2 linked regions of the Ovis aries genome follow. The protein of the gene in region 2 binds, or shares a complex with, the protein of the main gene of each other region. Links are inferred from orthologs where the notes say so. Each region holds a gene or a part of one and is shown on either strand. Other genes may lie near its edges.

Evidence for each region. Proteins that work in one complex are often made in the same cells at the same time.
Region 1: the proteins of IFFO1 (region 2) and XRCC4 are in contact, whole or in part, in a crystal structure (PDB 6ABO), measured with the Homo sapiens proteins. The link is inferred for Ovis aries from reciprocal best matches to the Homo sapiens genes IFFO1 and XRCC4. Residues at the interface, in NP_001317253.1 of Homo sapiens: Arg469, Glu470, Tyr473, Ile477, Gln479, Ile480, Glu481, Glu483, Leu484, Ala487, Lys488, Asp490, Met491, Arg493, His494, Leu495, Tyr498, Met501, Lys505, Leu508, Asp509, Met512, Cys515, Arg516, Leu518, Ile519, Thr520, Gln521; in NP_001304941.1 of Homo sapiens: Trp155, Val158, Gln159, Phe162, Glu163, Cys165, Val166, Lys169, Glu170, Glu173, Leu176, Tyr177, Phe180, Val183, Leu184, Lys187, Lys188, Lys190, Ile191, Leu194, His195, Lys197, Leu198, Ala201, Ala202, Arg205, Glu212.

The regions. Positions count from the first base shown.
Region 1 is NC_056058.1:80,502,465-80,507,598, reverse strand, and holds the start of XRCC4 (DNA repair protein XRCC4), read right to left. Parts: upstream 3,124-5,134; 5' UTR 3,055-3,123; intron 1-3,054. Other genes in the region: TMEM167A (protein kish-A), read left to right, coding at 3,349-3,351.
Region 2 is NC_056056.1:209,680,068-209,685,454, reverse strand, and holds the start of IFFO1 (non-homologous end joining factor IFFO1), read right to left. Parts: upstream 3,296-5,387; 5' UTR 3,236-3,295; exon of another isoform or gene 3,199-3,235; intron 3,007-3,198; exon of another isoform or gene 2,973-3,006; 5' UTR 2,969-2,972; coding exon of another isoform or gene 2,863-2,968; 5' UTR 1,464-2,862; coding exon of another isoform or gene 1,418-1,463; 5' UTR 1,241-1,417; coding exon of another isoform or gene 1,152-1,240; 5' UTR 1,004-1,151; coding exon of another isoform or gene 738-1,003; 5' UTR 1-737. Other genes in the region: NOP2 (probable 28S rRNA (cytosine(4447)-C(5))-methyltransferase), read right to left, coding at 738-1,003, 1,152-1,240, 1,418-1,463, 2,863-2,968; CHD4 (chromodomain-helicase-DNA-binding protein 4), read right to left, coding at 4,728-4,745, 4,929-5,092. UniProt on the Homo sapiens protein: Nuclear matrix protein involved in the immobilization of broken DNA ends and the suppression of chromosome translocation during DNA double-strand breaks (DSBs).

The sequences.
Region 1 (5,134 bases), on a different chromosome or scaffold from region 2:
TTTAAACTTTTAATTTAAAAAACCATTCACTGAATGCCTAACATTCAGGTCAACTGGCCCTCCTTCATTATCCCTCCCTTTAAAAGGTTTTTATTTTACTGAACAAAAAAAGCCAGGTACAAAACACGCAAGCCTTTTAGAGTGCTTGACAGTGAAAGTTGCTCAGTCCTGTCCAGCTCTTTGCCACCCCATGGACTAAACAGTCCATGGAATTCTCCAGGCCAGAATACTGGAGTAGTGGGAGCTGTCCCCCTCTCCATGGGATCTTACCAACCCAGGGATCAAACCCAGGTCTCCCACATTGCAGGCAGATTCTTTACCAGCTCGGCCACCAAGGAAGCCTAAGAATATTGGAGAATATCCCTTCTTCAGGGGATCTTCCTGACCCAGGAATCAAACCAGGGTCTCCTACGCTGCAGGCAGATTCTTTACCAGATGAGCTACCAGGGAAGCCCATTGAGTGCTTGCTGCTGCTGCTGCTGCTGCTGCTGCTAAGTCGCTTCAGTCGTGTCTGACTCTGTGCGATCCCATAGATGGGAGCCCACCAGGCTCCTCTGTCCCTGGGGTTCTCCAGGCAAGAACACTGGAGTGGGTTGTCATTTTCTCTCCAACGCATGAAAGTGAAAAGTGAAAGTGAAGTCGCTCAGTCCTGTCCAACTCTTTGGGACCCCATGGACTGCAGCCTACCAGGCTCCTCTGTCCCTGGGGTTCTCCAGGCAAGAATACTGGAGTGGGTTGCCATTTTCTCTCCAACGCATGAAAGTGAAAAGTGAAAGTGAAGTCGCTCAGTCCTGTCCAACTCTTTGGGACCCCATGGATTGCAGCCTACCAGGCTCCTCTGTCCATGGGATTTTCCAGGCAAGAGTACTGGAGTGGGGTGCCATTGCCTTCTCCATTGAGTGCTTGAAATGAAGTGAAGAAGTGAAGTGAAGTTGCTCAGTTGTGTCCGACTCTGCGACCCCATGGACTGTAGCCTACCAGGCTTCTCCAGGCAAAAATACTGGAGTGGGTTACCATTTCCTTCTCCAGGGGATCTTCCCAACCCAGGGATCGAACCCAGGTCTCCCGCATTGGAGGCAGACGCTTTAACCTCTGAGCCACCAGGGAAGCCCCATTGAGCGCTTTGTGCAGGTCAAATACCTGACAATACTAGGGAGGTCCATGCCTTCTTTGCACAGAAAAACATAAATATGTACTATTTTTACATATAACAGTATGTAAAGTATATAAAGTATAATAGTATTTCTTACTGAACCTAAGAAATCAAAGTTGAAAATACTCTTCTAGATGCAGGAGAGGCAATAATTTTTGAAGAAGGAAATTACAAGAACCAGATTTCACTTTTAGTGTGTATGAAAATGATCCAAGATAGTCTGAAATAAGATTCCATACCAGAGCTGCTAGAAAAGAGATTTTTGATATAGCAATGTAAGACAGTGCTTAAATTAGTTCACTGGCAGTGAAGCCAAGAGTAGGGAGTTCATGTGCTTAATGACCATATATCTCAATTACCACCTTCTTAGAGATCTTGCCAAGAGATCGTGTCAGATTAACTTTGTTGTGTTACATGAAAAACTTTATATATAAATGTATGTTCAGTCTTATCTATTGCTATTTGGCTTCCTCTATGGGTAACTTTAAAATAACTGGCATTGTTCTTCCCTATTTTGAAGCTGAAGTACATAAGAGCCCATGGTCTAAAATTAATTAAAATTCATAAATACAGTAAATCAACTGTGATTTTTAACAACTTCAATTTCCTGGTGCACTTCAGCTATCACATATAACCCTCAAGTGTCCATGTAAATGAAGACAATCTACATGACAGCAAGATGTTTGCAGACACATTTACTACTTTGGAAACCAAGCTTGATGAGTTGCACAACATAATTTCCATAACCAAGCCAAGATTATTTAATTTGAATGGTTAAGACTTTAAAAATATATTGTAAAGCAATCACAAGACAAAGCATTACAGCTTGTTTTTTTGATAGGACAAGGTTACAGTATATTTTTATACATTTCTTATTCCCCTCTTCCCCATGCCCATAAAATTTCTGGAAGGAACAGGCCATCTTTATCCCTCTGCAGCAATCTCATGATGGTATGAATAAAAGCTCAGTTAAGTACTTGCTAAATTTGTGTACTTAACCAATTCTTGACAATTCAGTAGATTCAAACAAAAAGTTAGTAATGGTTTAAAAAAAAAGAAAAAAGAAAAGAAAAAAACTTGGTGGGCAGTAGCCAACAATACAATCACAGATAGTAGAAACCCAAATATTGTAATCACTGTGTTGCCCTAAATATAGAAAGGTCTCATAGTTTGGCCAAGAACAGCACATAAATCAATGCATTATATGAACTTCCTTTCCTGTTTCTCTCAATCCACTTTGAGTCAAAGTATTAAAAAACTGATAATATTCTAAAAAGAATCTGGGGAGAAGGAATAGAACCTATCTAATGGGATTGTTAAAATTAGAGAAAGTTAAATAATAATACTGATTAAAAGAAAAAGTTGGTATATGTCTTGCAGGTGGACCATTTCTCTAAAGCACCTAATCAATTACTGAACTCAGGAAAGGCAGCTCCTTTCCATTTGTTCCCACAGAAAGTTCTTTCCTGACTGCAACGGGCACCTTTCAGCCTCAGATCGAACCCACTGACAATCTACAAAACGCTGAGAATTAAAAGCGAGAATGCCAATGTTAGAAAACTGATCAAACACCTTCTCAACACAACCCCCTGAATTCAAGTGTCCTAATCCCACAGCTTTACAGGGCATTTCAAAGGCGCTTTACACAAAGAATCCCGCAGGTGCAAAGGGAGAAACTGAAAAGGGAGCCCAGGCGATGCACGACATGAGGGTAACGCCAGAGAACTCAGGTGCTCCCCAGTGTTTACAAACAGAAGGGCCAGAAGCTTACACATCGAGGGGAGTCTAAGCCGGAAAAAAATTGAGCGCGGAGGAGTTCTAGAGAAGTAAAGAAAAATAAAAATAATAATAACTGGATCGCCGACTACTATTAAAAGTCAGTCGCCACTTCCGGACCCTACCTGTTAGTAATTCCACTTCCGGCCTCCTCCGAAAGGCCCGCTCCCACAGGCGGACATCCAGCACCCAATGAGAGTGTTACCTACTTCCGCGGGGGCTGAATGACGTCATTTAAGTCCCGTCCTTTCCGGAAGAGAGGAGCCTATCGTAGAGCCCGAGACCCGCGCCTCAGGAGGAGGTACCCTGACAGGCCCAACCAAACCGCGGAAAGGGAAGAGAAAGGCAAGCCGGCCGTGCACGCCTCTTCCGCCCTGGGCCCGGAAGGGTGATGTGGCTGGGGCTCCGCCGGCCTCACTATGGTAAGAACCGGGGCTTTGGGGTCGCAACTGAGCTTTGTGCAGGGGCTGCGAACCAGTACAAGGGGTGGAGGGTTGAGTGGCAGTCCCCGGCCGGGGAGCCCTGTCGCTAACTTGACTCTCCTGGGGCTCAGAGGGAGAGATGGGCCCGGGAGCCATGTGGCCACTGCACGTCCAAACTGGGACAACCGGAGCCGACAGCCCAAGAAAGAGCCTCAGGGCCGCAGAGCCCCTCCTCACACGCAGAGGCTACTTTAATGACTTGTTTCAAAGAAATGCGCTGGTTTGGCTTAACCCGTCGTTACTTATTCTTTGTGGTTATTTTCAGGCTTTAGAGCTGCCGGATTTGCGCGCTTGTTGTTTTGCGGTTTGTTATCTCATTGCCGACCTAAGCCAGGTGTTTCATTGTTTTCAAACAAACTCGAGACATGCCACCTTAATTTTGACTTGTTGAATTAATTGGCCTTTTAGGTCTCTCCAGCTCCATTCTCTCAACTCTAAAGATGCTACTTTATAAGCTGTGATATAATCACTGGAGTTGTCTGTAGAGGTGGCTTTTCTAGAAGCTTACTGTGCTTGGAGTGGTTTCTGGCCTCGGGTCTTCCCTTCCATACATTATTAAGGTTTCCTGTGTTATTTTGTCTTATTGCAGATTCCTTTAATAGTTTGGGCCTCTTGGAGAAGCTTGAAATTAGCTTGAATAAGTTCACAAGAGAAATGTTTACTTCTCCAAGCTACGAAAAATACATAAAACCAACGTGGACGAAGGACAGATGAAATAATCAGTAGTAATAGCAAAGATCTCCCAAGCTATGTCTGCAGGCATTTCACCTTTGTCACGGTAAATGCTAACAACCTCTACACTGGGCCCTCCCCATGAATTTAGGAGGTCTATATGCCAGATGTGTTTATGAGGAAAAGATTCGTGCCTTTTATTATAGTATCAAAAGCAGCCATGACAAAAGCTTTTCTGCAGTGAAAAGTTGTTGAGCTTACGTTCCCAGAAGTTCCTGCAGAATCCCATACAGCATAAAACCCTTAGACTTTGAATCGAAAACTCATTAATTGTTGTTTACTTTGTGCCAGCTACTGTTATAGCTGGAGCATAAGTCACAGTCTTTTCCCTGGAGAAGTTTACAATGTATAGAGGGGATGACATTTTATTGGCAAATTATTCCTTCCTTGGCCGAAGATACTCTCCAGTTCCAAAATCGAACTATCACATGAAAGGACACAAGTGGATAGACTTGTGTCCTGAATGAGCCATTATTTAACTTAGAAAATGTGGTTCATTTTGCAATCCAAAAAGAGTAACGAGACTGTTACTCTTAATTCTTGCATATATCCTCCTTGAGGCTGAAATGGATTATTTTACTCATAGTACAGGCAGAGATAGATTCTTCTTTTTGTCTTATGTTCTATTTAGAAGCAAGACATATACCACTTAAGATTAACAGTATTTGAGCCATCTGGCCATACTGGTTTATTCAGAGAAACAATAATAACTCTCATTTATTAGCTATTGCTGTGTGCCAGGGTGCATTTGAAAAATCAACTTGAAAGTATTGTTTCATTCGAAACTTCTGAATAGATGTTTACAGGCGAAGGAAGTCAGGCATGTCAGAAGACTTCATGCTGTTGTTAATGAAAAGAACATAACTGAAAATCACATATGTCATAGTGGTTTGTTGCTCTCAAATATAATATGCCCATCAGATGGGGGTGGAAAATAGAAATAACTGCCAAGTAATTAATGTTTTCATTCCTGCTCTGTTCCTGTGAGCTT
Region 2 (5,387 bases):
AAAGCATTCATTATATTGGTCTTCCCACACCATACCATACACAGGGTGGGGACGAAAACTGCCCTGAGGGTGCCCGTTTCGCCGTATTTCCCTACACACTTACTCTACGTCATTTTTCACAGTTAAAATCACGATGCATTTTCAAGTTTGCCTCTTGCCTTTCTCATTCACAGTAAGAACACAAGCATTTTCACAGACATATTGGCCAAATGTTGATTTCACATATGAATGAACTTTAATTCACTTAAGTAAACCGGACATTTTGGAAGCTTCCAGACTTTTGGCATTATGGTCCACATGGACGGTGCCTGGTAACTTCAAAATGGTAGCTCTGTACAGAGGAGGGGGATGTGGGTGAGGGGTGCAAGTGGACACTTGCACTGAATTTTGCTTGAACTTTTCTAATGACACAAATATATGAACTGTATAATACGTAATAACTCCTTATACTTTAACAAGTAAACCTTTGTCTACATTCTGGATCACATTCCTAAGGTGGAATTGCTGTATCAAAAGGAAAATCTCATGTTTCAAAGTACTCTATCCCTATGGCTCTTCTAAACTTGCACATGTGCCGAGAGGAGGTAATCGGTGCTCTGAAACAGTGATGGCACACCAAAGTCCCTTTTCTCTCCTCAGGCTTACCCTCATCACTGAGAGACAGTCAAAGCAATCTGGAAAAGACTCTAATAAAAGGCAAGGATCGCTTCTGGGAGATCCAGAGGGATGGAGCCCACCTCTTCATCGTCATCCTCATCTTCGTCCTCTGAGTTGGAGCCAGCTCCATAATCATCTATCATATCGGCATCACTGTCCTCGGAGCCCCAGAGGTCCTCCTGGTTCACCACACCGTCCCCTTCAGAGTCTTCCTCCTCCTCCTCTGCACTGCTATGAGTTGGTGCCGGGCGCTTCTTGCCTCGAGCCATGTTAAATAAGGACGAGGCTTCCTTCTTACCAGGTGTCTGGACAGCTCCTGCAGAGACCCCAAAGGGTTTGCAGAATCCTAGACCGGTGGCAGACAAACACTGATAGAACCTGCCTTCCCTACACCTGAGAATATCCTGTGGCTGTTCCTTTCAGGTCAGAAATGCTCAGCAAGTCCCTCCTTCCCCAGGACCCAGAGGAAGAACCCAGCTCTTATTTTCACTGACCTTTTGGTAGCTTCCCAGGCAACGGTTTGGCCCCAGGGGACTTATTCGTCTCAGGGGCTTCAGCAGAGCCCAACCTTCTCTTGGCTGCCCTAAAAACACATAAGAAGTGGAAAACGGAACACACCTCCAGGCTCTGCCACCTCCCAGAGTGGGGAAATGTGACAGTCCCCAACAGCCCTTCCCATCAGCTTGATCACATGGGATCACACGCTGAAAGACGAGCAGGACCGATTTAATCCGTGTAATCTAGGTCTGGACACACTCACCTCTTTCGAGCACGACTTGACAGCCTTTTAGAATTTTCATCACCACCTGTTTAAAAACAATCAGAATAGGAGATTACAGGAGAAACAACTAGGATACTAATTAAAGGGAGTAAACAGTAAGCCACTCCACTGTGCTCTGGGGGCTTTCCTGGTGGCTCAGACCATAAAGAATCCGGCGGCAATGCAGGAGACTCAGGCTCGATCCCTGAGTTGGGATGGGGAAGGCAATTGCAACCCACTCCAGTATTCTTGCCTGAAGGATCCCATGGACAGAGGAGCCTTGCGGGCTACAGTCCATGGGGTAACAGAGGATGACAGGGCACACACACCACGTGCTCTCCCAGGAGCCGGCCAACAGATGCCAAGGAGACGAGCTCCGTCTGGTTGTTCACCAACCAAATCCAAACTGGGCCTCCCTCCAGACTGGTTTCAATGGCATCAGCACCATTCTGGTAACACAGACTCTTTCTTCTGCTCTTTTACTCTCAACTAATCAGTTACCAGGGCTTCCCTGGTGGCTCAGTGGCAAAGAATCCACCTGCCAATGCAACAGACCAAAGTTCAATCCCTGGCTCCGTCCCCTAGCGAAGGATATGGCAACCCACTCCAGTATTCCATGGGAAATCCCATGGACAACGGAGCCTGGCGGGCTACAGTCCATGAGGTCGCAAGAGAGTCAGACACACTGAGGCGACTAAACAATACAATCAGTTACCAACCACAGATTCCACAACTGCTGCCGTTCATATGTTCTCTAAATAACTTAACATTTAAATCTCAGCTCTTTGATAATTATCAATTACAGACAACTAATAATTGTCTGCAAGTTAAACTCTCGGCATCCACTTTCTAAGCAGCACCTCTCTCATAGGACACTGCGGTGATATGAGCCCAAAGGGTTCAACACAGTGTTGAGCACTTGCCAACACCTCAATTAATCACATCTTTTATACAAAGATGCACATGAACTACCTGCCCCTTCTCCCCTCCCACCCTGTCTTCCATGCAGTAGACAACCAAGTATTATGCAGGAACCAGATTTGTGGTTATCGTCTCCATCTCCTCCAGAACGCAGTTCACAGTGAGTGGACTGCCCCCTTCCCAACCTCCCCTTGCTACAGTGTCATCCATTTTTCCCAAAACCCAACTTCTTTACAGAATCTTTTTAAGCTCTCTTAACTCTATGGCTTGCCCCTTCCTGGGAACTCCCTCAACGTTGAATCACACCTGTCCTTGCATAGCTTCTTGTGTCCCTGCTGCATCTCCTCTAGGTTCTAAATGCTAATCAGAGTATTTCATTCATACTAGTCTTCTAGTAAATCATTACAACGTTCTGTTTGAACGGAAAATGAACACATAGACCAAAAAAACTAAAGAGTTAAGATATAAAGGAAGAATAACGCAAAAGCGGGAGTATCAGGAGGGGAAGCACGCCTGACTCTTACCTGCAGGCAAGAATTTGGCGAGTTCGGTCTCTGCACCTTTCTGTTTCCGGGCCTTTCGGCCCGGCCCGCGCTTCTCCTTCTTCGTAGGGTCCAATTTGCGCCCCATGGTCCTGGGGAACACAAAAACGGGAGATGGTAAACGTGCTGAAAGGGAAAGGCAGATCGCAGACGGTCAGGAAAGGGCAATGACTCCATCAGAACCTCGACTCAGCAGCCCCCTAGCCTCTCGAGGCCTAGCCAAACCTCCACTCCACGCTGAGCCCCAGGCCCTGGGTCCCACGCGCCAGGTGCCCCTCCACACGTCCCAATCCAAGTCAGCGTCTCACTCTCCCTCACCTGACTTAGTTCAGACCCGCCCGAAGCCTCGGCTCACCTGAAAGAGGAAGGCACGGAGTTCCACGTGCAGCTCGGCCAGGAGATCAGACACCACCCCACGGAAACGTCTCGCGCAGGCGCACTGCGCGCCCCGAAGTCCCGCCTCTTCCGGCCTTCCGGTCCGATTAGGAAGCCGGAACACTTGCTCGCCGGGCCGGCGCGAAGCCGGGCAGGATTCCAGAGCGGACCGCTCCGCTCTCCCCGCTGGCGAAGGCGGTGCCCACGAGGCGTCTTCGACTTCCCCGCCCTCCACTCCAGGCGTGGGCCTTTGGCCTCGTAGAGTTCATTTGGAAATACTGTACCCGGAAGCCGCCCCTTCCCCCTCGAACACCGGCGCTAGAGCTGCGCCCTCCGCCTGACGTTGCCCCGAGATCGGCGGCCCCCACGCCTGTGACGCGGAAACCCTCTTCCTTGACCGCAGGACCCGCGCTGCCTCTCAGGTAAGACCAGGTTCCCGTCTTGGAGGTCGGGAGGAAGGCATCTCGTGTCCACATTTCACCCACGCAAGCTAACAGAAAAACTGACTTCAGCCTTCCTGCAAGTAAACACCAAGGTGGCGCTCAGCTGTTAAAAATACTGTTCCAGCCCTGGTTCCACCTTCACAACACTGCGAGGAAGATCTTTTCATTTTATGCATGATATTTCTACAGCTTGGAGAAGCCTGCTTCCGCACGCTCGCAGAGCCGGGAAGCCACGGATCAGGTTGTGAACCGCGGGTGGCGGGGCGTGGGGAAGGCGTCCTGCCCGGAACACGTGTACAGATGGGAGAGTCGATTCTTCCGTGGACTCTGATGCTACAAGGAAACCCCTATTCTCCAATTACAGGTGTCCCAGGGCTCCCGTCACTCACTCACCCACCTGCACCTACACCCACACTGAACCAGAGCACTAAAATACAAGGAAACTTTTATTTTCAGTTTTCATCAAGAAATTTTTTTTTTTTATGCTTTTGGTTCTTTTCCTTTTTTTTTTTTTTTTTCCACTTTATTTCATTCTAGCCACTCAGGGGCTGGAGCCGCTGGGTTCCTGGTATTAAAAAGATGCCAACAGAGGTAGCTGTGTCTCGCCCAGGGGCCCGGCCCACTGTGAATACCCCCCAAAAAGGAGAAAAGAAAACACAAAATCAACCAACAAAATAAAACGTAAGGAGGAAGAAACTCCGATCATTTTCTTCAAGCCTGGCGGGAACCCACAACAGTTCGTGTGTAACAGACAGTGTTACAGTGGGGAGAAGCCAGGGCCCAGAAGGCCAGCCCGCCAGCTCCCTGCAGATGGCGCCGGCGCTACTGCTGCAGTCTCTCCAGCAGGAAGGGCACCACTGCCCCTCACTCCCTCCCCTCCCCTAGTGCTCCGGGGACTGTTCCTCTACAACTTAGAAGATAGGGCAGAAGGAAGGAGAGGGTCTCTCGGGCCCCAGGGGAGAATCTGGGCAAGGGAAAGTGAGGAAGGTCACTGCTCAGCGGTGGAGGTGGTATCTTCCATCTGGGTCTTCACTGCTGCTGGGCTACCTATAGGAAGAGAAGGCCAAGGGAGTCAGAGTTTCGAGACCACAGCAACCCACTAGATCCCAAGAGGACTCACTGGTAAGCCCACCCCGCTGCCCAGCCTGTAAAGCTAGGGACAAACAGCAAAGTTTCCAACTTCCAGAATGGCTCTGTTCAACAGCTGGCCAGAGGAAAATGGTCCTATACCTGCTGTGGAGGTGGTTCAGGCGCCCGGTTTGCCAGGCGACTGAGAATATTACGCTCTGACATCTGTAGCCTCACAGCAACTGGGGGGATTCGGGCAATAGTGGCTGGGAGTCGAGTCACATCAGCTTTCATGTCACTCAGCAGTTCTTCTAGCTGTTTCAGAACTGCATGGGGAGAAAAAGAGGCGGTGAGCCGTGGTGGTCAAGACCCAGGTCCGTCCTCCCATATGGGGACCATCCCTTCCCCCTAGTACTTCTCAGTGACCGAGTAACTGATGTGCTGGAATACTGTCATTTGTCACTGAGTCACCTGACCTGGCTCCACCACATATTCTTATTCCTCATGTTCCAGTTCCAGCTGCCCATGATTCTATGATTTTAAAGTCACCTGTCTCTTAATCTCTACTGTCTTATTTCCTCCACTTCTTGAATAGTTATTCGTTTCCTTTTCTCATCTTCT